Stegostoma tigrinum: one gene and its partners. The protein of the gene in region 2 interacts with the protein of the main gene of each other region in a pairwise test. Links are inferred from orthologs where the notes say so. Each region holds a gene or a part of one and is shown on either strand. Other genes may lie near its edges. The genes, in order: aplf, xrcc4 and aptx.

Evidence for each region.
Region 1: the proteins of xrcc4 (region 2) and aplf interact in binary tests that used the Homo sapiens proteins (3 or more experiments, as listed by UniProt). The link is inferred for Stegostoma tigrinum from reciprocal best matches to the Homo sapiens genes XRCC4 and APLF.
Region 3: the proteins of xrcc4 (region 2) and aptx interact in binary tests that used the Homo sapiens proteins (3 or more experiments, as listed by UniProt). The link is inferred for Stegostoma tigrinum from reciprocal best matches to the Homo sapiens genes XRCC4 and APTX.

Annotation. Positions count from the first base shown.
Region 1 is NC_081362.1:4,504,436-4,511,553, forward strand, and holds the start of aplf (aprataxin and PNK-like factor), read left to right. Parts: upstream 1-4,035; 5' UTR 4,036-4,194; coding exon 4,195-4,278; intron 4,279-4,571; exon of another isoform or gene 4,572-4,663; intron 4,664-6,311; coding exon 6,312-6,383; intron 6,384-7,118. Other genes in the region: F-box only protein 48, read right to left, coding at 437-739. UniProt on the Homo sapiens protein: Histone chaperone involved in single-strand and double-strand DNA break repair.
Region 2 is NC_081356.1:98,392,305-98,400,200, reverse strand, and holds the start of xrcc4 (DNA repair protein XRCC4), read left to right. Parts: upstream 1-4,796; 5' UTR 4,797-4,990; intron 4,991-7,896. Other genes in the region: tmem167a (protein kish-A), read right to left, coding at 4,613-4,615.
Region 3 is NC_081356.1:29,977,028-29,984,776, reverse strand, and holds the start of aptx (aprataxin), read left to right. Parts: upstream 1-4,644; 5' UTR 4,645-4,735; intron 4,736-4,994; exon of another isoform or gene 4,995-5,174; intron 5,175-5,336; exon of another isoform or gene 5,337-5,589; intron 5,590-6,724; 5' UTR 6,725-6,728; coding exon 6,729-6,858; intron 6,859-7,749. UniProt on the Homo sapiens protein: DNA-binding protein involved in single-strand DNA break repair, double-strand DNA break repair and base excision repair.

The DNA of each region.
Region 1 (7,118 bases), on a different chromosome or scaffold from region 2:
AACTGGCCTGTCCACAACTGAATCCACATCTCCAGAGCAGTAGCAGTAGTACTAGTCCAAAGACATTATCACTACATCACTGTTTACCTGGTTTACCCTATGGTGCCCACTCCACCAGCCTTTTCAGATCCTCTTAACATCTATCATAGTCGTCCTCATCTCATGTAGTCATTGGCACTACCACATTTGTCTATCCTGTGCTTTGCTAATAATTATTTATATCAAAAGTGCACGCTGCTCCCTGCTGGATGGAATGAGCATTCTTCTTAAACTGTTCCCATTCTGATAACGTTTGCACTTACAGCAGGGAGAATACTGGTGAAAAAGAGAAGAGAAACAAAAGTGTCAGTGAAACACTGAGTAAAAAGGAACCGGGGGGCAGCTGGACAATAAAAATGCCTAAACTTTCATGTAAATGATTGCCAATTGCACAAACCTTCCATGAAAGTCCATGTGCTCGATCCCACTGCAGCTCCCGCTTGCAGACAGCCAATATGGTCAGGCAATGATTGTACCAAAGGCTGTCACTGGTTTCGATCAGATCATTCCACGCTTTGCAAGTCATTGCAGCATTAGACAAGCTTCGAACGTCCAGTTCACTGAAAATTTTCAGAGTTAACTCTTGAGGCAAAAACTGGGCAAAATCAAAACGATTTTGTAGCTTTTTCTGCACAGCGGAGAAAACAGTTTTGTCTTCACCATTAGCAATTTGCTTATTTCTTTTGCAAGACCTTTGCATAGTTTTTTGTTCCAGAATCTCAAAAGATCTTTCAAAACAAACCAAATCAAATTTTAACTAGTCTTATTGGTTGATTTTCTGTCTTACTGACATAAGACTTTGTCACCAAACTTCTTGACAATCTATTTGTTACTCATCTTTTCTTTTTTGTGAATTTCTTCCATCACCATCATTGTTGCTTTTCTTTTGTCTCCTTTCTTTTGGTTGTCTATTGGCTCCTCAGTGTCTTTTCATCAAGCCACGTACTACTCTGCAGGCCTCTGAAAAATATTGTTTACAGATTTATTCCTATTTTAGATTTTTTAATGTTCAAGATGCACAGCAGAGTATTAGCAGAAAGGAAAATCCAAAGAACTGCAGTCATTGGAAATCAGGAGCAAAATCAAAAATTTCTGGAAAAACTCACCAGGTCTGGCAGCATCTGTGAAGAAATAAAGGTTAGTTAACATTTCTGGTCCAGTGAAGGTTCTGAAGAAGGGTCACTGGGCCTGAAAAGTTTATTTTGCTGTTTTTTCCCCAGACGCTGCCAGACCTGCTGACTTTTTAGAGCAATTACTGATTTCATTACTAGCAGAAAGGGTTTGGCATATGAGTTTTATCTGCTCACCTGTTATCTGTAAATCTGGAATATGTCATTGGGTTCTGTATTGCAAATTACCAATTTACACCAGGTTATGCCACCACTATTATTTGTATAACCTGAGTCTGTACCTTAACCTTCAAACTGAGAGATCTCTTGTAAAACACCAGTCCACACAGCTTATCCATGTATTGTTCGTGTTATCTTTGAATCTGTAAAGTTCATGTTTTAGTCTGTAATAGTTTAACCTGTCCTTTTTGTACATGTTTGTTGTTTAACCTGGCAATTCTTTTTTAAAACCCCATCCTCTATCAATGCTTTTCGGTGTTCATCATACAACCAATAACTCATTTATCATGTTCCATGGTTAATAACCTGGAGATGATGACTGTCCTGATTTGACATGTATTTGATTTGATTTATTATTGTCACATGTACCTAAGTACAGTGAAAAGTTTTGTTTGCATGCAGTACAGGCAGATCATAACATACAAAGATTAAAGGGTGATTGAACAGAGCAAGGAATACAAAGTTATGGTTGTAAAGAAGGTGCACAAAAAGCAAGGCCAATGTTAGATTTGAAATTTGAGAAGTTGCTGACTTCTGGGAGGTACTGCCTTCTCGGTTTCTACTACTTGCCCATTTCAACATCAGTTGCCCCCACTCTCTCCTACTCCCATCCTTGCTCCCCTTCACTTTACCCCTGCCCTCTCTCCCCATGACCTGCCACCTCCGCCCTGAGCCCACCCCACACTACCCACCCATCTCCTCCCCATACCCCTTCACCGTCCTGTTCCCCTCTCCCACTCTCCCCATCCCCACTCTCCCCCTGTTCCCCTCTCCCACTCTCCCCATCCCCACTCTCCCCCTCTCCCCCTTCCCCCTGTTCCCCTCTCCCACTCTCCCCATCCCCACTCTCCCCCTTCCCCCGTTCCCCTCTCCCACTCTCCCCCTTCCCCCGTTCCCCTCTCCCACTCTCCCCATCCCCACTCTCCCCCTTCCCCCTGTTCCCCTCTCCCACTCTCCCCATCCCCACTCTCCCCCTTCCCCCTGTTCCCCTCTCCCACTCTCCCCATCCCCACTCTCCCCCTTCTCCCTGTTCCCCTCTCCCCATCCCCACTCTCCCCCTTCTCCCTGTTCCCCTTTCCCACTCTCCCCATCCCCACTCTCCCCCTTCCCCCTGTTCCCCTCTCCCACTCTCCCCATCCCCACTCTCCCCCTTCCCCCTGTTCCCCTCTCCCACTCTCCCCATCCCCACTCTCCCCCTTCCCCCTGTTCCCCTCTCCCACTCTCCCCATCCCCACTCTCCCCCTTCCCCCTGTTCCCCTCTCCCACTCTCCCCATCCCCACTCTCCCCCTTCCCCCTGTTCCCCTCTCCCACTCTCCCCATCCCCACTCTCCCCCTTCCCCCTGTTCCCCTCTCCCACTCTCCCCATCCCCACTCTCCCCCTTCCCCCTGTTCCCCTCTCCCACTCCCCCCATCCCCACTCTCCCCCTTCCCCCTGTTCCCCTCTCCCACTCCCCCCATCCCCACTCTCCCCCTTCCCCCTGTTCCCCTCTCCCACTCCCCCCATCCCCACTCTCCCCCTTCCCCCTGTTCCCCTCTCCCACTCTCCCCATCCCCACTCTCCCCCTTCCCCCTGTTCCCCTCTCCCACTCTCCCCATCCCCACTCTCCCCCTTCCCCCTGTTCCCCTCTCCCACTCTCCCCCTTCTCCCTGTTCCCCTTTCCCACTCTCCCCATCCCCACTCTCCCCCTTCTCCCTGTTCCCCTTTCCCACTCTCCCCATCCCCACTCTCCCCCTTCTCCCTGTTCCCCTTTCCCACTCTCCCTGTTCCCCTTTCCCACTCTCCCCCTTCTCCCTGTTCCCCTTTCCCACTCTCCCCATCCCCACTCTCCCCCTTCTCCCTGTTCCCCTTTCCCACTCTCCCTGTTCCCCTTTCCCACTCTCCCCCTTCTCCCTGTTCCCCTTTCCCACTCTCCCCATCCCCACTCTCCCCCTTCTCCCTGTTCCCCTTTCCCACTCTCCCCATCCCCACTCTCCCTGTTCCCCTTTCCCACTCTCCCCCTTCTCCCTGTTCCCCTTTCCCACTCTCCCCCTTCTCCCTGTTCCCCTTTCCCACTCTCCCCATCCCCTCTCCCCCTTCTCCCTGTTCCCCTTTCCCACTCTCCCCATCCCCACTCTCCCCCTCCCCACTCTCCCCCTGTTCCCCTTTCCCACTCTCCCCATCCCCACTCTCCCCCTTCCCCCTGTTCCCCTTTCCCACTCTCCCCATCCCCACTCTCCCCCTTCCCCCTGTTCCCCTTTCCCACTCTCCCCATCCCCACTCTCCCCCTTCCCCCTGTTCCCCTTTCCCACTCTCCCCCTTCCCACTCTCCCCCTTCCCCCTGTTCCCCTTTCCCACTCTCCCCATCCCCACTCTCCCCCTTCTCCCTGTTCCCCTTTCCCACTCTCCCCATCCCCACTCTCCCCCTTCTCCCTGTTCCCCTTTCCCACTCTCCCCATTCCCACTCTCCCCCTTCTCCCTGTTCCCCTTTCCCACTCTCCCCATTCCCACTCTTCCTCTTCTCCCGTTCCCATTGCCCCCTCTCTCTGTCTCACTCTCACTTTATTCGGATCTTGTTTGTTTTCAGTTTAAATCTCCGGCCGTTGATATTTGTTTTTCTGCGACGTCACTCGCTCGCGCACCGTTTCCGCATTCGTGCCGCGCGGGGTGGGCGGCCCTCCACAAGTGCGCAGGCCCCCGCGAAGGAGCCTGGGAGTTGTAGTTCGGAGCGTTCTTACGGTGTAGCTCGTTCCCGGTGCCGGCGAAGGGCGAGCTTGTGTCGGAACCAGGGGGAGGAATGTGAGCTCCCTCCCAGGAACGGGAGGAGGATGGAGCTGGAGCCCGAGGACGGGAGCGGGAACATCGCTCTCGCGGGAGGCCTGACCGCCATAGGCCGCGGCCCTTTTCTCCGGGTGAGAGACGACCGCCCCCGTCCCTTCTCCACCCCCCCAGATCCCTTCTCCACCAACCCCCGCCCCATTCCTTGTCCCTGTCCCTCAGGCCCTACCTCTCACCCCTACCATTCACACCTGTCCCATGCCTCTTCCTCCTCAACCTCTGACCTTACCCCCCGCCCCCCCCATCCCCTTACTCCACTCTTAAACCCAACCTTACGGGTTCCCTTGACCTGACCACCAGCTCTAACAATGATTTCATACCCTAACATCCCCCACCCCAAAACAAAACCCTGGAAATGGCATCTCACCTGATCGCTCGGATTACCGAAGAAACAAGCCATTCAGCCCATCTGGCCCATGCTCATGCCCATTCCACGTGAGCTCCCACTCACCCTCCTCGTCAAACCCAAGCAGAGTATCCTTACCCTTTCTCCCTTGTGTTTCTATCCAGCTTTCCCTTTAAATGTGTCAATATTTCTCTGTCCCCATCCTCTCCAATCTCCAAGTGAGGAAGTTTCTCCTGAGTATCTCTTGGGAAATAACCACTTTGCATTTTTAAAAACCAAAAGAACTGGAGATGTTAAACATCAGGAACAAAAACAAAGTTTTGAGGCAGGATCACCAGACCCGAAATGTTAACTCTGTTTTTTCCTTCACAGACCTGCTGAGCTTTTCCAGCAACTTTGTTTTTGATTTTGCATTTGTAACTCATTTCTTGGGAAAACCAAAACTCTGAAAATCTCTCCTCCACTTCTGCCCTTAAAAACCCTTCTCATAAACTTAAAGACCTTGAGATCAAACTTGAAGCCTTCTGCTGCCAGCTTTGGATCTCTGGCTCAACCTAGGTTCACAACCATGGCCTCCTATAGATTCAGCATTGGCCTTTTGATCTCAGTTTCTGTCCTGAACAAATGCTGCACAGTTTCATCTCCGTAGCATTAGTAGTCTTAGTCTCAACCCATCTTCTGAGTGCCTTTGTCTCCAGTAGAAATATTTTGGAATTCCTGGCTAATTTGCTGTCATTCTCTACTCTTAAAGAGTGGCCAATTGTAAGAATATAACTAATCAGAATGAAAACTGAACCATGAATCTTGGAAATATTCAGCAGACTCATCAGCATCTGTGAATAGAAAAGAGGTTATTGTTCGGAAGTAGAGTCATACACTACTGCAGCATTAACTCTGTTTCTGTCTCCACAGGTGAAGCCAGACCTGCTGATCTTTCTCTATTTTTTCTATTATAACTATTCCTTTTCAATCCCACTTCCTTTGTTGCACACACTTACAAAAATATCTCCCAGCTGCCAGATCCCAACGTTTCACACATCAGCAATCACTGAGTTGTTCTCAACTTCATGTTTCATAATTTTGTCCAGTAGAAGACCCATCACAGCCTGATCTTAATTGTTCCCTCTGGTTTTACTTGAGTTTTTACCACCTTTCTGTAGTCCAACGCATGTTTATTGGCATAGCTATCTCTTGTTCTAACCTGATTATACAACATCAATCATTGTCAGAATGGGGTCTCCTTACTCCAGGATAATCCTGGAAAGTGAAGATAAATCTCCACTCCATCTCTCTCCAATGATTTGTCTCCCTGAACCTCTCTGCCTGCACCCTCATCTCTAATAACAGATGAGGAAACTGCAAGCTTATTGTTGCTGAATTTGAGAGTGTCTGTTCAGTCATTGGTCTTCCTTTCTCTTGCCGTGTAACCACTAAATTGCCCAGGGGCTCTGCAACAATTAGGAATGTGGCGTATACAACCAACATTCCCCATAAGGGATCTTAAAGGGATAAAACCACACAACGGAGAAAAATTATGGGGGCATTACCACTGCCAATCTCTAAACCCACATATATTTCCCAATTTATCATTTGTCTCCTCTCATAGCATTTTCTTGCTCGCCCTACCTGTCTGACAAATTTTCTGCTCTGGTTCACTCTATTCTTGATTTATTTTCAGTAAGGGAATGGCGCATTCAAATAGGAAAATCCAATGTTGTTGTAATAGTAAATAACTCTTTTAATGGATTTTTTCATTTTCAGGTTTCCGATAAGCGAGTGTCCAGGAATCATGGTCTCCTGGAAGTTGTCAATGAGAAGTTACGCATCAAACCAGTGAGTAGGTTTCTACCTGAACAGTGTAATTTCTGCAAATACAGATAGTAGTTTATACCTGTAGTCAGTTTTTTTTAATCTCATCCCTAAAGGATTAGAGTTAGGCTTAGTTAGTCCTTTAAATGGAATTCTGTTTGGATTACTGGGGTAACAGGTTACAGTCTTCATCATAGAATCCCTATTGTGGTATCCCTATCACTGGCTAGACCAATACTCATTGTCCATTCTTAATTATCCTTGAGAAGGTGCCTTTTTGAACTGCTGCAGTACATTTTAGGATCGGTACACCTAGAGTACTGTCAGCGAGATATTTCTAGTATTTTGACCCAGTGACAGTGAAGGTGAATCCATAGGTACCAAGAGATGCATTTGAAATTGGTGGAGTCAGAATTTGTAAAACACTCAAATATGAATTGTGCCTTTGTTTTTATTAGACAAATAAGGCCCAACAAGTCCGTACTGCCCCTCCAAACAGGATCCCACCCAGATCCATTCCCCTACTGCTGCATTTCTCATGTTTAACCCACCTAATCTAAACATCACTGGGCACTATGGGCAATTTAGTACGGCCATTCCACCTAGTCTGTACATCTTTGGACTGTGGGAAAAACTGGAACACCCGGAGGAAACTCTCATAGACACGGGGAGAATGTGCAAACTCCACTCAGACAGCCACCTGAGGGTGGAATTGAACCCGGGTCCCTGGCACTGTGAGGCTGCAGTGCTAACCACTAA
Region 2 (7,896 bases):
CCTAGTATTTTAACACAAACAGACAGACCTATAGACACAGTTGTCTCCAAGGTCATGGTTTCAGTAACACAAAAATCACTCAGGGATATGGGTACTTCAAAGGCACTAGATCAGTTGGGTGGGGGTGGGGGGTCTTCAAGGGCACGAAGATCACTCAGTGATGGCTTCCAACACAGAATAAACATTGAGGTGGCAGGGTAAGTGCAGAGAACAGTTAATAAAGCACAGTATACTCAGATTTAATAAGAAAGGCATAGAATACAAGAGATGACGATGTTGAACTTGTATAAGGCACTTGTTAGACCTCAGCTGCAGCATTCTTACAGTGAAAGTACCACATTTACAGATGTGAAAATGCAGAAGAGATTTAAAGAACTGTTCCAGAAATTAGAAATGTCAGTTAGGGAGAAAGATTGAAGAAGTTGCGACTGTTATTTTCAGACAAAAGGTGGCAGAGAGGAGATTTGATACAGGTTTTCAAAATGGATCGCTGGATAGTGAGAATCTGTTCCCACTTATAAAAAAGATTTTTAAAAATTAGACAGCATAGGCTAAAAAGTGGTCTGCAGAAGAGGCAGGATGAGGTGAGAGAGAAAAAAAAACTTTCATGCAGTGAATAGTTAGGATATGGAATGCATGAAGACCACAAGAAATAGGAACAGGAGCTTGCTCCACCATTCAACAGGAACATGGTCGATCCAGTACACCTCACATCCACTTTCCTGGCATTTCCCCACAACACTTGATTTCCCTATTGATCAACAATCTCTCAACTTTACACATGCACAAGGACTCTGCTCCCACAGCTCTGTGGCAAGCAGTTGAGACACTCAATCCTCAGGAGAAATCCCTCTGCACTCCTTATTTCTACAAGTATGTCCTAGATTCTTCCAAGAGGGAGAAACTTTCTCTCATCCTTTACCATAAGCCCGTTAAGAATTCTGAATGTTTCAATGAAATGATCTCTCATTCTTCTAAATTCCAATGAGTATCAACTCAAACTATTTAGCCCTTGTTCATAAGTCAACCCCTCCACACCAAGAGATCATTTCAGTGAATCTTCTCCGAACTGCCTCCAATGAAATAATATATTTCCATAAATAAAGGGATGGAACAACTCTCAGTACTTTGGATGTGTATCAACAGCACCTTGCACAGTCGTAGAAAGGTGTCCCTACTCCATACTCCAACCCCCTTGAAATAACCGCCCCAACCCTCACACCCCATCCCCGCAATAACTGCTAAAAGAGAATCCACCTCGTCCTCACATACCACCCCACCAACCTCAGGATACAACACATCATCCTGCAACACTTACGCCATCTACAATCTGATCTCAAAGAGATTTTTCCATGCCCACCCTTGTCTGCCTCCCAGAAAGACCACTCTCTCTGGAACTCCCTTGTCTGCTCCACACACTCATCCAACTCCACTGCACCCAGCACTTTCCCCTGCCATCGCAGGAAGTGCTACACTTGCGCCTACTCCTCCTCCCTCACCCCCAACCCAGGCCCCAAGATGACTTTCCACATCAAGCAGATGTTCACTTGCACATCTGCCAATGTGGTATATAGCATCCGCTGTACCCGTTGTGGCTTCCTCTACATTGGGGAAACCAAGCAGACACTTGGGGACTGCTTTGCAGAACACCTACACTCGGTTCGCCGCAAACAACTGCCCCTCCCAATCGCAAACCATTTCAACTCCCCCTCCCATTCCTTAGACGACATGTCCATTCTGGGCCTCCTGCAGTGCCACAATGATGCCACCCGAAGGTTGCAGGAACAGCAACTCATATTCTGCTTTGGAACCCTGCAACCCAATGGTATCAATGTGGATTTCACAAACTTCAAAATCTCCCCTCCCCCCACTGCATCCCAAAACTAGCCCAGCTCGTCCCCGCCTTCCTAACTTGTTCTTCCCCTCACCTATGCCCTCCTCCCATCTCAAGCCACACTGCCATTCCCTACCTCCTAACCTCATCCCGCCCTCTTGACCTGTCCACCCTCCCCAGACTGACCTATCCCCTCCTACCTCCCCACCTATACTCACCTCTACAGGCTCCATCACTCCGCCTTTAACTTGTCTTTCTCCTCTCCACCTTTCTTCTCCTCTATCCACCTTCGGTCCTCTCTCCCTATTTATTTCAGAACCCTCTCCCCATCCCCGTTCTGAAGAAGGGTCTAGGCCTAAGACGTCGGCTTTTGTGCTCCTAAGATGCTGCTTGACCTGCTGTGTTCATCCAGCTCCACATTTTGTTACCCCTTGAAATAAGGACTCACATTCCATTCCACTTGTATGCTAGCTTTCAGTGTTTTGTGTATAAGTATCGCCAAGTGTCTTAGTGCGGCAGCTTTCTGCAGTTTTACTCCATTTAGATAAACTATTTGGATTATGGTGGAGGTAGGTTCAATCATGAGAGGGCATTGGCTGATAATTTGGATAGAAATAGTGTGCAAGGTTATAAGGCAAAAAGCAGGAGACTGGCAGAAGGTGACAATGCTTGTTTGAAGAGCTGGTGCAGGTGCGACGGTTGTATGGACTTCTTCTACATGACTGTTAATCCAAATGTTCTGGGCACTGGGGTACAAATCCCACCATGGCAGATGGTGGAATTTGAATTTCATAAATATCTGGAACTAACGATCTAATGATAACCATGGATCCATTGTCAATTGTCAGAAAAACCCACGTGGTTCACTGAAGTTCTTTAGGGAAGGAAATTGTCACCCATACCTGGTCTGCCCTACATGTGACTGTAGACTCATAGTCACGTGGTTGACTCTTAACTACCTTCTGAACAATTAGGGATGGACAATAAATACTGCCTAGCCAGCGATGTCCTCATCTCGTGAATGAAAAAAATCAGTGATTATGAGAAGATTACCTGGGGCCTGACACATACAAGAACACCTGGCAGCCTGACTGTAGATGTGGAGAGATTAGACCTAGTCTAAGGGATTATCCATTTAACAGAGACGGGGAGGGCCCTTCTATCCTAAAGTATTGACTCTGAGAACAAAGTTGGAGAAACTCAGTAGGTCCAATAGCATCTGTGGAGATAGTGGACTTGAAATGTTAATTCTGTTTCTATGACTCTTCTTCAGAAGAGTCAGGGTTCTGAAGGAGAATCACACTAGATTTGAAACTTTAACTCTACTTCTTTCTCAAGATCTGTCCGATCTGCTGCATTTCTCCAGGTGTTTGTTTCATATTTTGTTTTTATTCAAGTTTTTAAAACTTAGCCTCAACAGCCCTTTAGGATAAAGTATACTTCAGGCTCAGGAGGACATATCATCAGTAAGGGAGTCAGGGGTCAGAGTAAAAGGCAGTGATGTGGAACTGAGGATTCAGATCAGACCAGACATGATCTCATTGGGCTGAATGACCCACTACTCATACATCTTTATCTTGTCTAATTAGTTTGCTCAGGAAACACTATTCACATCTTCCTGTCCCCTTCAAGTTCCATCCTTGAACAGAAGCCACTCCCAATTTGGAACTACATTGCTTCTCCTTCAATGTTGCATGGGCAAAATTCTAATAGTACAATCAGTGCTCCTGCATGTTGACGACTGCTACAATGCAAGAAAACATCACTATCTTCTCAAGGCCAGTTAAGGATGGGCAATAAACACAGGTCTATCCAGCAACATTTAGATCACTGAACGTATAAATAGCTGGCTACAACATGAGGAAAAGGCTTTCCTACATAGGTGGTCAGGAACACATCACCGGAGTACAGAAGGTGCAGATACAAGCTGGCTTTCAAAACGTAATTTAAAAGGGGGGGAAAGAAAACGTACAAAGCTACAGGGAAAGGACAGAGAGTAAGAATAAGATAATTTGCTTTGGTAGAGCTGGCATAACCACAACCGACTAAATGGCCTCTTGCGTTGTAACCATTTTGGGAAAACAACTCACAAGTCAATCATCTTCCATGGAGGACAATCATATATATTCATCATTTCATTACTGCCGGGCTGCAAGGGCACTGTGTCAATACTTAAAGTGAAAGCGATTCCAATGTGGAATTTAGACTGTTTAAAATAAGCGATTTGCTGTTGAACTATTACTTCACGTAGTAATTGATTACTCTGGAACCAAATACGTGCATCTAAGTTTGGCCAGTCTACACGTTTACGTACTTCTATTGTTTGTATGGATTAGATGTTTCGACAAAAGCCAGTATAATCGGAAGAAAACAGATCAAAGACAGAGGGAACTGCCGATGCTGGAGAATCTGAGATAACAAGGTGTAGATCTGGATGAACACAGCAGGCCAAGCAGCATCAGAGGAGCAGGAAAGCTAAAGTTTCGGGCCTGAAGAAGGGTCCAGACCCCGAAATGTCAGTCTTCCGGCTCCTGTGATGCTGCTTGGCCTGCTGTGTTCATCCAGATCTACACCTTGTTATCTCAGAAAACAGTCTGTTACCCGAAGGCCTTGATCCCATACACTTCTATTCCCGACCTCCCATCACACGGCGGACAAGTAACAAAAAGATACGAGGCTGTAAAAAATAAACGCACTAACCCACACACATACATCAGAATCTAAGCTGCTTAATAACTTCCTGCACACTACAACAAAAAAAAGACAAACCCCACTCACCATCCTGCACACTTCATAGCCACATCACACTTCCGGCAGGTCTGGAAGTGACGCACTCCCCGTTCGAACCGATTGCGGCTACAACGCTCTTCCACATCGCCCTCGCCGGCAATTTGCGATGACGTTACACACGGCGTCTTCACGTGAGACGGGGCTCTGGCCCTGGCTCAAGCGCCAAGTTTGTGTGAAACGTCATCGGAAGCGGGTGTCTGGCCGTGAGGCGCTGCGATTGGCGGGAGTTGCGGAAACGTTCTGCGTTTGCCCTGATGTCGCTGTGAAATTGACCAGATACATGACAGCAGAGCGTCGGCGGCAAAGGAGGCTCAGCGTTTAAATTCAGTACACTTAGGCCGATTCTGCTCAGTGTGGTCATTAAAGGTACAAGTCATAACTTTAGGTTGCCTTACCAGTTAGTTGGCATGAACTCTATCCGATTGAATAGTCTAGCTTCACATTTTATGAAAGCGGGAGTTTATAAACGCCCTTTTAACGTATGGAAAATGACAGCAAAATGTTTGCCGTTTTGAAGCCCGCGAGATTTCCCTCTGGAGTCCGCGAAGCCCTGTATCTTTAATAGATATAGAACGGGCAGATGCCATTCTGCCCATCTTGTAAATGCTGGCCTCTTATGCATATTTGAGGGAGTGGAAACTCGTGGGCCTTGTCATCTAAACCTTGGAGGAGTTTGGCAAGCCACTTAAAAGTCTGAAATCATCCTGTAGTTTTCAAGCATTACTACATCCTGCTGATCTATGGCCCTACATTCAATCAGTCAATGTCATTTTTTAATGGAAAAATGGCAGAGATTGCAGAAATCAATTCTATTTTCGTTCAACAAAATGAGTAATGTAATATCGTCATCAAATACAGAATCAAAACAGAAAATGCCGGAGAATTGAGCACTTGCTTTATTTAATGTTTCAGGCAGCACAGAATTTTACCCTTAGCACCAAATAGAAAAATCTGATCAAACTGTAGATTCTGCAGATCTGAAATAAGAATAGAAAGTGCTGAAAGAACTCAGCAGGTCTGTCAATAGTGCTGGTGTAAGAAAGAGTTAATGTTTTCAGCCCAGTTATGACTTCTGAACAGAAGGGCCTGTAAGATTACAGTTTTTTACTCTGTTGACAAAGGACTGAGTGGAACAGAACTAAAGGAAAGGAATGGAAGCATCAGAGAAGACTAATTGAGAGCAGGTCGGAATTTGGAAGCAAAATGGGTTAATTTTTCCAATTCTGGATGAGAGAAGGAAGCAGTGGCAATGATGTATCCATTTACTGGAGAAGATGTTGTGGGAGGGGCCCAAATTGGAAATCCTCCACAAATCCCATAAAGGTCCAGACATTACTTGGACCCATTAGGGTACCTGTAACCGCATCTTTGACTTCTAATTTGTGACTTTTTTTTAAACTTTTAAAATATCCACTAACATTCTGATGGCACACATTTGAGGAATTGTACATTCAGTGTTTTCTGGTGAAATTGTCGCTACAGTTAGTAAGGGCATGCTTTTCATTGATAATTTTCAAACTTAATAAAATATCGGGATCAAGGTTTTGTACTGTTTTCTCAATTAATATTTAGTTTTTAATTCGCTAATGAGATGTGGGTGTTGCTCACTGGGCCAGTTTTTATTGCTCATCCCTAGCTGCCCTTGAAAAGGTAGAGGTGAGCTGATTTCTTGAACTTCAACAATTCACATGGTGTAGCTGACCCTCAATGATGTTAGAGGGGAAGTTCCAGGATTTTGACTCAGGTACAGCAATATATTTCCAAGTCAGGATGGGGAGTGGCTAGAAGGGGAACTTCTAGTTCCCATGTATCTGCTGGTCTTGTCCTTCTGATGGAAGTGGTTGGGGGCTTAGAAGGTGCTGTCTCAGGATCTTTGGTGAATTTGGGCAGAACATCTTGCAGGTAGTACACACTGCTGCGACTGAGCATTGGTGGTACGGAATGTGGTACCAGTTGAGCAGGTTACTTTCTCCTGGATGGTGTCAAGGTTCCTGATTGCTGATGGAATTTCATCTGTCCTGGCAAGTAGGGAATATTCCAACACAGTCCTTGTGCCTTGTATGCAATAGAATATCTTTTGTTTTCATGTGGATAGGCTTTGGGGAGCCAGGTGGTGAGTTAGTCTCTGGGGTTTCCTAGCCTCTAATCCGCTCTTATAGCTACTGTGATTATGTGATGAGTTCAGTTGACTTTCTGGTCAATGATAAACCCCAGGACATTGATAGTGGGGAATTCAGTGATGGTAACACCTTTGCATGTCAAAAGGTAGTGGTTAGATTGTCTTTTATTTGAGATGGTTGTTGTGTGGTATTTGTGTGATATGAATTTTACTTATCACTTGTCAGCCCAAGCCTGGGTATTGTCCATATCTTGTTGCATTCGAACATGGACTGCTTCAGTATCTGAGGAGTCACAAATGATGCTGAACATGGTGCAGTTATTGGTGAACATCCCCACTTATGACCTTATGATGGAGGGAAGGGCTATAACCTTAGAAGCTGCTGTGTCTTCTAGTTCCTCTAAGTTTGAAATAATCACAATTGTTGACTCAGAATGATGGCAATTCATCAAGCATTTCATACAGCTGTGTATATTGCTCCTTACAATTAGGCGCTGAGCAATGTGTCACCCTGGGTATTTGTATAACAATTCCTTGCTGTTTATGAATCATTGTAACTTCCCTCTTTCTTTAAAACAAACCACTATATCATTAAAACTACACTAATTATGAGTGTCTTTTTATACTGTATATCAAACACCCAACTTTTGTAACGTACTTGTGTATTCGTAACTAAGACAAAAGGAAGACGTATCAGGAAAGTAGAAATTTTTGAAATAATTAAACCTGTCACAAGAGTCACAGATGTATTTGGGAAGCAACTGGACAATCTGAGAAAAAATGGGGTCAAAATAGGAAGACATATGTAGGAAGGGACATTTCACAAGTTGAAATGCTCTTCAGAGGTAATTAATTCAGTGACAGTCCTGTGAATGGTTTGATGTTTGGTGCCGGGATTATGGGCCAGATGCTGGCAGAAAGAAGTTTCTGAGTGATTACAGCTTGCCTTCCTTAAGACCTGAAAGGAAGAGTAGATTCAGATGAAGTATGAAATAAAACAGTGAAACATTGCATGTTTGAGAAAGGTTTAAGATGTGCGTGTCACCTGCTGAGTTTTTTCAGACTTCTGGAGTTTTGTTTCAGACTTCCAGTATCTGCACTACTTTGCTTCATGTTCACAGTCTACTATACTATGTTTGCTCAAGGCTGCATT
Region 3 (7,749 bases), about 68 Mb from region 2:
CCCTATTCTCTCCTTAGTTATCCTTTTATCGTTAATGTATTTGTAGAATCCCTTTGAATTCTCCTTAAACCTATTTGCCAAAGCTATCTCACGCCCCCTTTTTGCCCTCCTGATTTCCCTCTTAAGTATACGCCTACAGCTGCCTTTTGACTCTTCTAAGGATTCACTCTATCTCTGCTGTCTGTACCTGACATACACTTCCTTCTTTTTCTTGACCAAAACCTCAACTTCTCTCGTCATCCAGCATTCCCTACACGACCAGCCTTGTCTTTCACCCTAACAGGAACAAACTGTCTCTGGACTCTCATTATGCCATTTTTGAATGCTTCCATTTTCTAGCTATTCCTTTAGTTGTGAACATCTACTTCCAACCAACTTTTGAATGTTATTGCCTAATACCATAAAAATTGGTCTTCCTCCCATTTAGAGCGTTAACTTTTAGGTCTGGTCTATCCTTTTCCGTCACTGTTTTAAAACTAATAGAATTGCATGAAACAAAACTTGGAATTAAAATTAAAGCTTGGAATGCTCTGTAGACACACTTGTTTTATAAAAAAAACATGAGTGAATATGACAATGTTGTCTATTATAAATAAAATGACATTACCGCATCAAAAAGGACTGATATAGCAAAGAAAAATTGCACTTTTATTAAATCATAGGATGTGGACTTCCCCGGCAAGGCCAGCGTTGATGCCTATCTGTAATTACTTGTGAAGGTAGCAGTGACCTGCCTTCTGGATGTACTGCAGACCATCTGAAGTGACTTTTAAGGATCTGAGCCAGTAATATCAAGGAACAACAATACATTTCAAGGTTAAGTTAGTGAAAATTGTAAGTGCTGATGTTTGATAAGCCTGCTGTCCCTGTCTTCCTAAATGATAGAAATTGAGAATTCTAATGTTTTTGAGTAGATCTGTAGCTCGGGTGATGGATGTTATGGTTGGTTGGTTTGCTGAGCTGGTTTGTTGTTCCACAGACTTTTCAGTACCCTGCTGGGCAACATCATCAGTGCAGCATCCGATTAAGTGCTGTTGTGTTTTCCAGCCTGGTATTTAAACTCTGTCAACAGATAACAAGAACCAAGAAAAGACAGTTTCTTCAAGAAATCGAAAATTGAGAGTTCAAAACTCAACACAGCAAATCGTGGACTAAATTCTGCTACTTAATAAATTAAGAATAAAGGTAGTGATCATGTAACTACTGATGTTATCAAAATACACTTGATTCATTAATGTCCTTTCAGAAAGGAAGGTGGCCATTTTTGCCAACTCATCCTATATTGACGCCAGACCTATATCAATGTGGTTGGCTCTTAAGTTCCCTCTAAAATGGATTTAGGCAGCCATGAAGACAGTTGAGCAACAACTACTCAAGGTTTATTAGAATGGGCAATAAATACTGACATTACTAATGACAGCCATGTTGTAACTGAGATAAACCTACAACAGGTTGTCTTTTAAAGTGCTTCAGGAATGAGAACAGATCTGATATATTTGATCAAGTTAGAAGGCACATTACTCAACATTCCACCAATGCAATATCTGAACTTAAAATAGCCAATGTTGATACTTGGTCTTTAGGTTCCTCAATTCCTATCAATTGCCTGAATATTCAAGAAGCATTTAAAATACCAGGGCATACTAGGATATGGGACCAAGTGCAAGTTTAGTTAGGTATTTGTTGATCAATATAGACATGGTGGGCCGGACAGCCTGTTTCCACACTGTATGACTCTGATAAGGTACATATAGAGCTTTCAAGGCATGTGGGGTATGGGAGGAAGGGAGAGGTGTCCATAGCTGCCCAACACAAATATAACAGAAAACTCCAATAGAGACTTCAGAAGAAACTTCTTTACACAGAGTTAGGTGTTTGTTTTTGACTGGCATGGATACAGAAGGGGCTTTTTCTGTACTGTAGATTTCCTGTGACTTCCAGAGTGATGGGAATGTGAAACTCACTTCAAAGTGCTGCAGCTCCGCTTTAGACACAATCAGTTGAACGGACTCCTTTGTTACAACAATTCTGTGATTTTGAGTAGGTGAGGCAGAAAAAAACATGGATGCAGTTAAGGGGAAAGCTTGATATGTGTATAAGGGAAAAAAAGAACATACGCTAAAGAAAAATAAGAAAAGTATAGCGGGAAATGTAAATGCTAGCACATGAGTTGGTGTGAATAGCTTGTTACATCATTTTCTTTTATAGTCTCAAAAGAGAGCTACTTTTATCCCTTTTCAGTTCTGGTATCCAAGATTTCCCCGACCATATTTAGTAAAGGCATTGACTTGTACAATTCATAATACAATCAATCTTTAATTCATTTACAATAGTCAACCATGGATACATCATTCACAGTTACAGCAACAGATATTGGCCACAATACACAGCTACATTTCGAACTACAATTAACAAAGTCTAGGGCATACAGATAACTTGGAGTTTAAATTATTCTTTGGTAACACTTTTGGCAGCACAAACATAATCAGTTTAGCACTACATCAAAAATATGTAAACAAATGAGTCATTTTGAATTGTCATTTTCAAATCAGTTATTGTAAAGCATACATTCCACAGACAAACTCAAACTTGTAGTGGGATGCAGCCGTCACTGCCTAAGCTGGCATTTATTACACGTCCCTAACTGCTCTTGAGAAGGTTATGGTGAATTACCATCTTGAACCACTGCAGTCCATGTGGCGAAGACAGTTACACTGTTATTTGGGATTTTGACACAGCAACAGTGAAGGATGGCAAAATAGTTACAAGTCAGGATGGTGCGTGGTTTGGAGGAAAACTAGCAGATGATGGTGTTCCCATGCATAAGCTTTCATTGTCTTGTCAGTGACTATTATTTTGGAAGGTACTGCCCAAAGAGAAAACTCTAAATATCTAGTCAATAACACTGATTTGCTCTAATTTATTACTCTTTGTCAAAATAAATGTTATGTTCATACAAAATGTTACCAGAACAAACAGGAGTAGGCCATTCAGTTTCCTCAAGCCTACACTGCCATTCAACAGCATCATGGCTGATGCGACACATTCCCTAAATCCACTTTCCTCATAACCCTTAAGGAAAGGCTAGGAAAACCTGGATTGTCTTCTCTTGAGTGGCGCAGGCTGAGGGGATACTTGATAGAAGTCTATAAATTATAAAGATGCACAGAAAAGGTTGATGGTCAGAATCTCTTTTCCTGAGTTGAAATAACAAATACAATGGAGCATGCATTAAAGGTGAAGGCGGGGGTGGGCAAGTTCAAATGAAATGTGAGAGGCAAGTGTTTTTTTTGCAGAGAGTGGTAGGAGTCAGGAACACACTGCCAAGGGTGGTGGTGGAGGCAGATACAATCAGAGCATTTAAAGGACTTTTAGATAAGCACATGAATACGCAAGGAATGGAAGGATAAGGACCAATGGAAGGCAGGAGGGATTAGTTTCATTTGGCGTCATGTTCGGCACAACATCATGGGTCGAAGGGCCCGATTCTATATCTCTAAAACTGCTCAAAGTATTCCAGATGTTTTCTCACCAGGACCTTGTACAGTCGCAGTAAGACTTCCCTACTCTTACATTTCTATCTCTAATCACAATACACTTAGCCTAATCAATGCAAACAGTAATCTATCATTGAAGCAAACATAAAAATGAACTCCTGGCTTACTAAACACCACACAAACCTACAGCTCACAGAAGAATGAAAAATATATAAAAACTTATACCACTGGCAGGAGATTGGCTCCTTCAGAGACACCACAATTCAAATGGGTTCTTTCTGTGCTGTAACATTCCTTCTAATTGAGGCCGCACCAAACTGCAATTCTGTGAAAAATTCCAGTGGAGTAGTCATGCAAAAATCTCAAAGTTTAACTCCTCCGGTGCAACATCAAACCCAAGAACCAACTGCTTAATCGGATGCTTCAGCTAATTACTAAAGCTTCCATTTTCACTTTGAGACATAGCCAACACTCAAACAGCAATCAATATTAGATAAATTCATAGAATCCCTACAGCTTGGAAACAGGCCCTTCAGCCCAACAAGTCCACAACGACCCTCAGAGCATACAACCCAGACCCACCATCCACCTAATCTTCACATCTTTGAACACTATTGGCAATTTTGCATTGCCAATCCACCTACCCTGCACATCTTTGGACTTTGGGAGGAAACAGGAGCACCCAGAGGAAACCCACACAGACACAGGGAGAATGTGCAAACTTCACATAGAAGGTTGTCCGAGGGTGGAATCAAACCTGGGTCCCTCGTACTGACAGGCAGCAGTGCTAACCACTGTATGACAACCAATTATTTGGTCTTACTCAGTTGAGAGACAAAAAGTATCTGCATATGCTAGAATCCAATCAGTACCCAAAATGTTGGCTGCTCCTTTCTTCCAGGTGCTGTCTGGCAGGCTGTGTTCTTCCAGCCTCCTGTTTGTCTTTGTCAAAATTCTCTCTTAAATCGTCCAAACAACAAATAATTGTAATTAAAAAGAGAAAATGTTGGCAATATCATATCAGTTTGTGGAGAGGGGGAAAAAACAAGAGTACTAAGGTAGAGATAGTAGGAACTGCTGATGCTGGAGAATCTGAGGTAACATAACAGCTATGAAGCTGGATGCACACAGCAGGTCAAGCAGCACCAGAGGAGCTGGAAAGTTTGACGTTTCAGGTCGAGACCCTTCTTCAGAAAATGTTCATCCAGCTTCAGACCGTGTCATCTAAGAGTAATAAGGTAACATTTTCTTAAAAACAGTGAGTTATGACCTAGATGGGCTACCTGAAAGACAGGAGGAAGCAGATTAAATGTAGTGAATTTCAAAAGGGAATCAGGTAAGTATTTGAGAAGGAGGAATTTGCAAGGTTTCTGCCGGAAATAAGCAGAGGATCTGGGATAAACTGAAAAGCTCTTTCAAAGAGCCAGCGCAGTTTATGATACCAAAGGGACTGCGACCAGAACAACAAATGAGATTCTCTGATACAACAAGGTGTGGAGCTGGATGAACACAGCAGACAAGCAGCATCGGAGGAGCAGGAAGGCTGACGTTATGGGCCTAGACCCTTCATCAGATCCTCTTCCTCGCCATCAGTCCCCGGCTCACGACGGCTACATCGTCTGGTTTTTTCAACGAACACTCAACCTGTGTCAGGGAATGAGGGAAGGAACCGAGAAGGTTTGACAAAGAATTTTCGACACTTCACTTCCGATACAGCTATCTATGTCATTAAGCCGGTCGCCTTTACACTCGCGAGACGGTCAGTGACAAGAGCTCCCGCCTTACAAAGATGGCGTCCACGCGGCTTTTCCTCTACGGTGCGCGCATGCGCGGCGCAAGTTGCACATGCGTGATCTAAAGCTGGGGTGTCGCAGTGCACGTCGGGGAACACTTTCAATTGCTTTTTGAAAATAAATAGTTAAATCGTAGAGCGATGTGGGAAACCTAAGTGACACGTTTGCTCTTTAAAGTGTTACCCAGGCCCTGGTGTGGGAGTTAGCTGGCTGCGGTTTTGTTTTTTTTTTAAACAGCTTTCCTGAGCGGAGCCTTTGGGCCCACTGATTCCAGGGACTGTCAGACCTGCTGCAGTCAGGTAGGACTAGCTTCAACAATGAGCGTGGGTAGAGGTCCATTAATAGCCCTCAAGGAAATTGGGTACACTCATGAAAAGGAAACACGTAGGAGAGTAGGACTAGTGTTTTCAGACAGCCAGCACAGGAATGACTGGTCTGCCTTGCGTCATCATTCTAGTTAGCTCTTCTACACGTTGTAATTTAAGCCGCATCACTTTAAACATTTTTAATAGCTTTGCAAAAGTAATGGCTGTTACCCGTAAGCTGAAAGACGTTCACTTTTGTCTCCGGAGGCGATTGTTTGAGTCTTCTCACGAGAAGCCTTGAGACAACACTCTAACGCAGTCCTGAGGAAGTGTCACGTTATCAGGGATTTCTTTCCAATGATATTTAATTTGAGACCTCATTCTCCCCCTCAATAAGATAATCTGTTCACTGTGACACTGGAGTGAATGAGACCATGATATGAACAAATCAGATGTCCGGTGTCCTATATTAGAGCTGTGGCAACATATCTAAAGCAATAGGTTTAAGCTGCTTTTGGATTATGAAAGGTGCAAGAAGATGCAAGTTCTTCTTGCTTTCAATTTGAATGATTATAAAATTACAGTACATTTGTTTCCTACCCAGTGCTATTGCTTTAGCTTGCTTAGCACTTCATTTAGATTAGGTTTGAACGTCAGTGTCCTGGTTGGTTAAATTGTAGCCAATTTTTTATTAAAGAAAACTGTTAGTTTGTATTTCTTTGATTTTGGAGCTGTGGATTTGTACAGAATAAATGAATCCTTAAGTGCTAAATTGATTTAGGTTTTTAATAATTGAACACATTACAATGGAGACTTACATCTTTATAGTTTTTAACATTGTGGTGATTTATGAGCAATTGTGAAACAAGACAACACAGATCCTTGTAAGGATGTAATAGGACAAATGGCCAACAGCTCTGTCAGACACATACTTTAGGGAATGCCTTAAAGAAGGAGAGAAATAAAGAGGTTCATGGAAGGAATTTCACAACTTTGGCCTTTGGAGCTGAATGCATTGTATACAGCATTGGGAGGTTATAATGAACAAGAGACGATTTGGCATACAGAGACCTTGGACAGTTAGAAGATAAGGGATATCTCTGAGTGTAACTAATTTTCTGTCTTGCAGAATAATGCGAGTTTGTTGGTTGGTTAGTAAAGATGGGAGGCACCAACCAATACAACTGGCACACTTAGTCTGTGTTATGATTGGAAGGAGTCCTGAAACCAAAATAACAGATAAAAAATGTTCACGGCATCAAGGTGAGTGGTAACTTTTTTTGTATGAAATTTCCAACGGCTTCAAAACAAATTGGATATTGCTTAGAAATCAGTAGGTTAGAGATATTTGCAAGCTGAAATGACCAAACTGGAGGAGAAAATGGCTCTATTGGCATGGAGATAATGTCCTTGGGAAACTGGGTTGAATACAAGGGATCTGTGGACTGGAGTAGGGTCAGTAGTTTAATCAAATTTGTTCAAGAAACATTAAGCAGAACGTTCCATATTAGATAACTAAGTGTGGGGCTGGATGAACTTAGCAGGCTAAGCAGCATCTTAGGAGCACAAAAGCTGATGTTTCGGGCCTAGACCCTTCATCAGAAAAGTGGGATGGGGAGAAGATTCTGAAATAAGTAGGGAGGTGGACTGAAGATGGGTGGAGAGAAGAGTATGGGTGGGGAGGTAGGGAGGGGATAGGTCAAGGGGGTGGGATGAGGTTAGTAAGTAGGAAATGGAGGTGTGGCTTGAGGTGGGAGGAGGGGATAGGTGAGAGGAAGAACAGGTTAGGGAGGCTGGGACGAGCTGGGCTGGTTCTGGGATGCAGTGGGGGGAGGGAGATTTTGAAGCTGGTGAAATCCACATTCATATTAGATGTTTTGGCGACTTGATGAGCTAGACGCTGAAAGGATACTTTCTTTCATGAGGGAATCGAGAGCTACAAAGTAAAGGTTCAATTTACGATGGAATTTCCTTCCTCCAGTGAGCCGTGGAGGCTTTTCATTGAATATATTTCAGGCTGAATAATAGATTTTTGATTGAAAAAGCAGTCAAGGAATGAGCGGGATAAGAGTCAGGCAAGAAAGTGGAGCTCAGGCCACAGTCAGATCAGCTGTGATGTGACCTTTTGGCTAGTGGAGAATTTTCAAAAGGCTG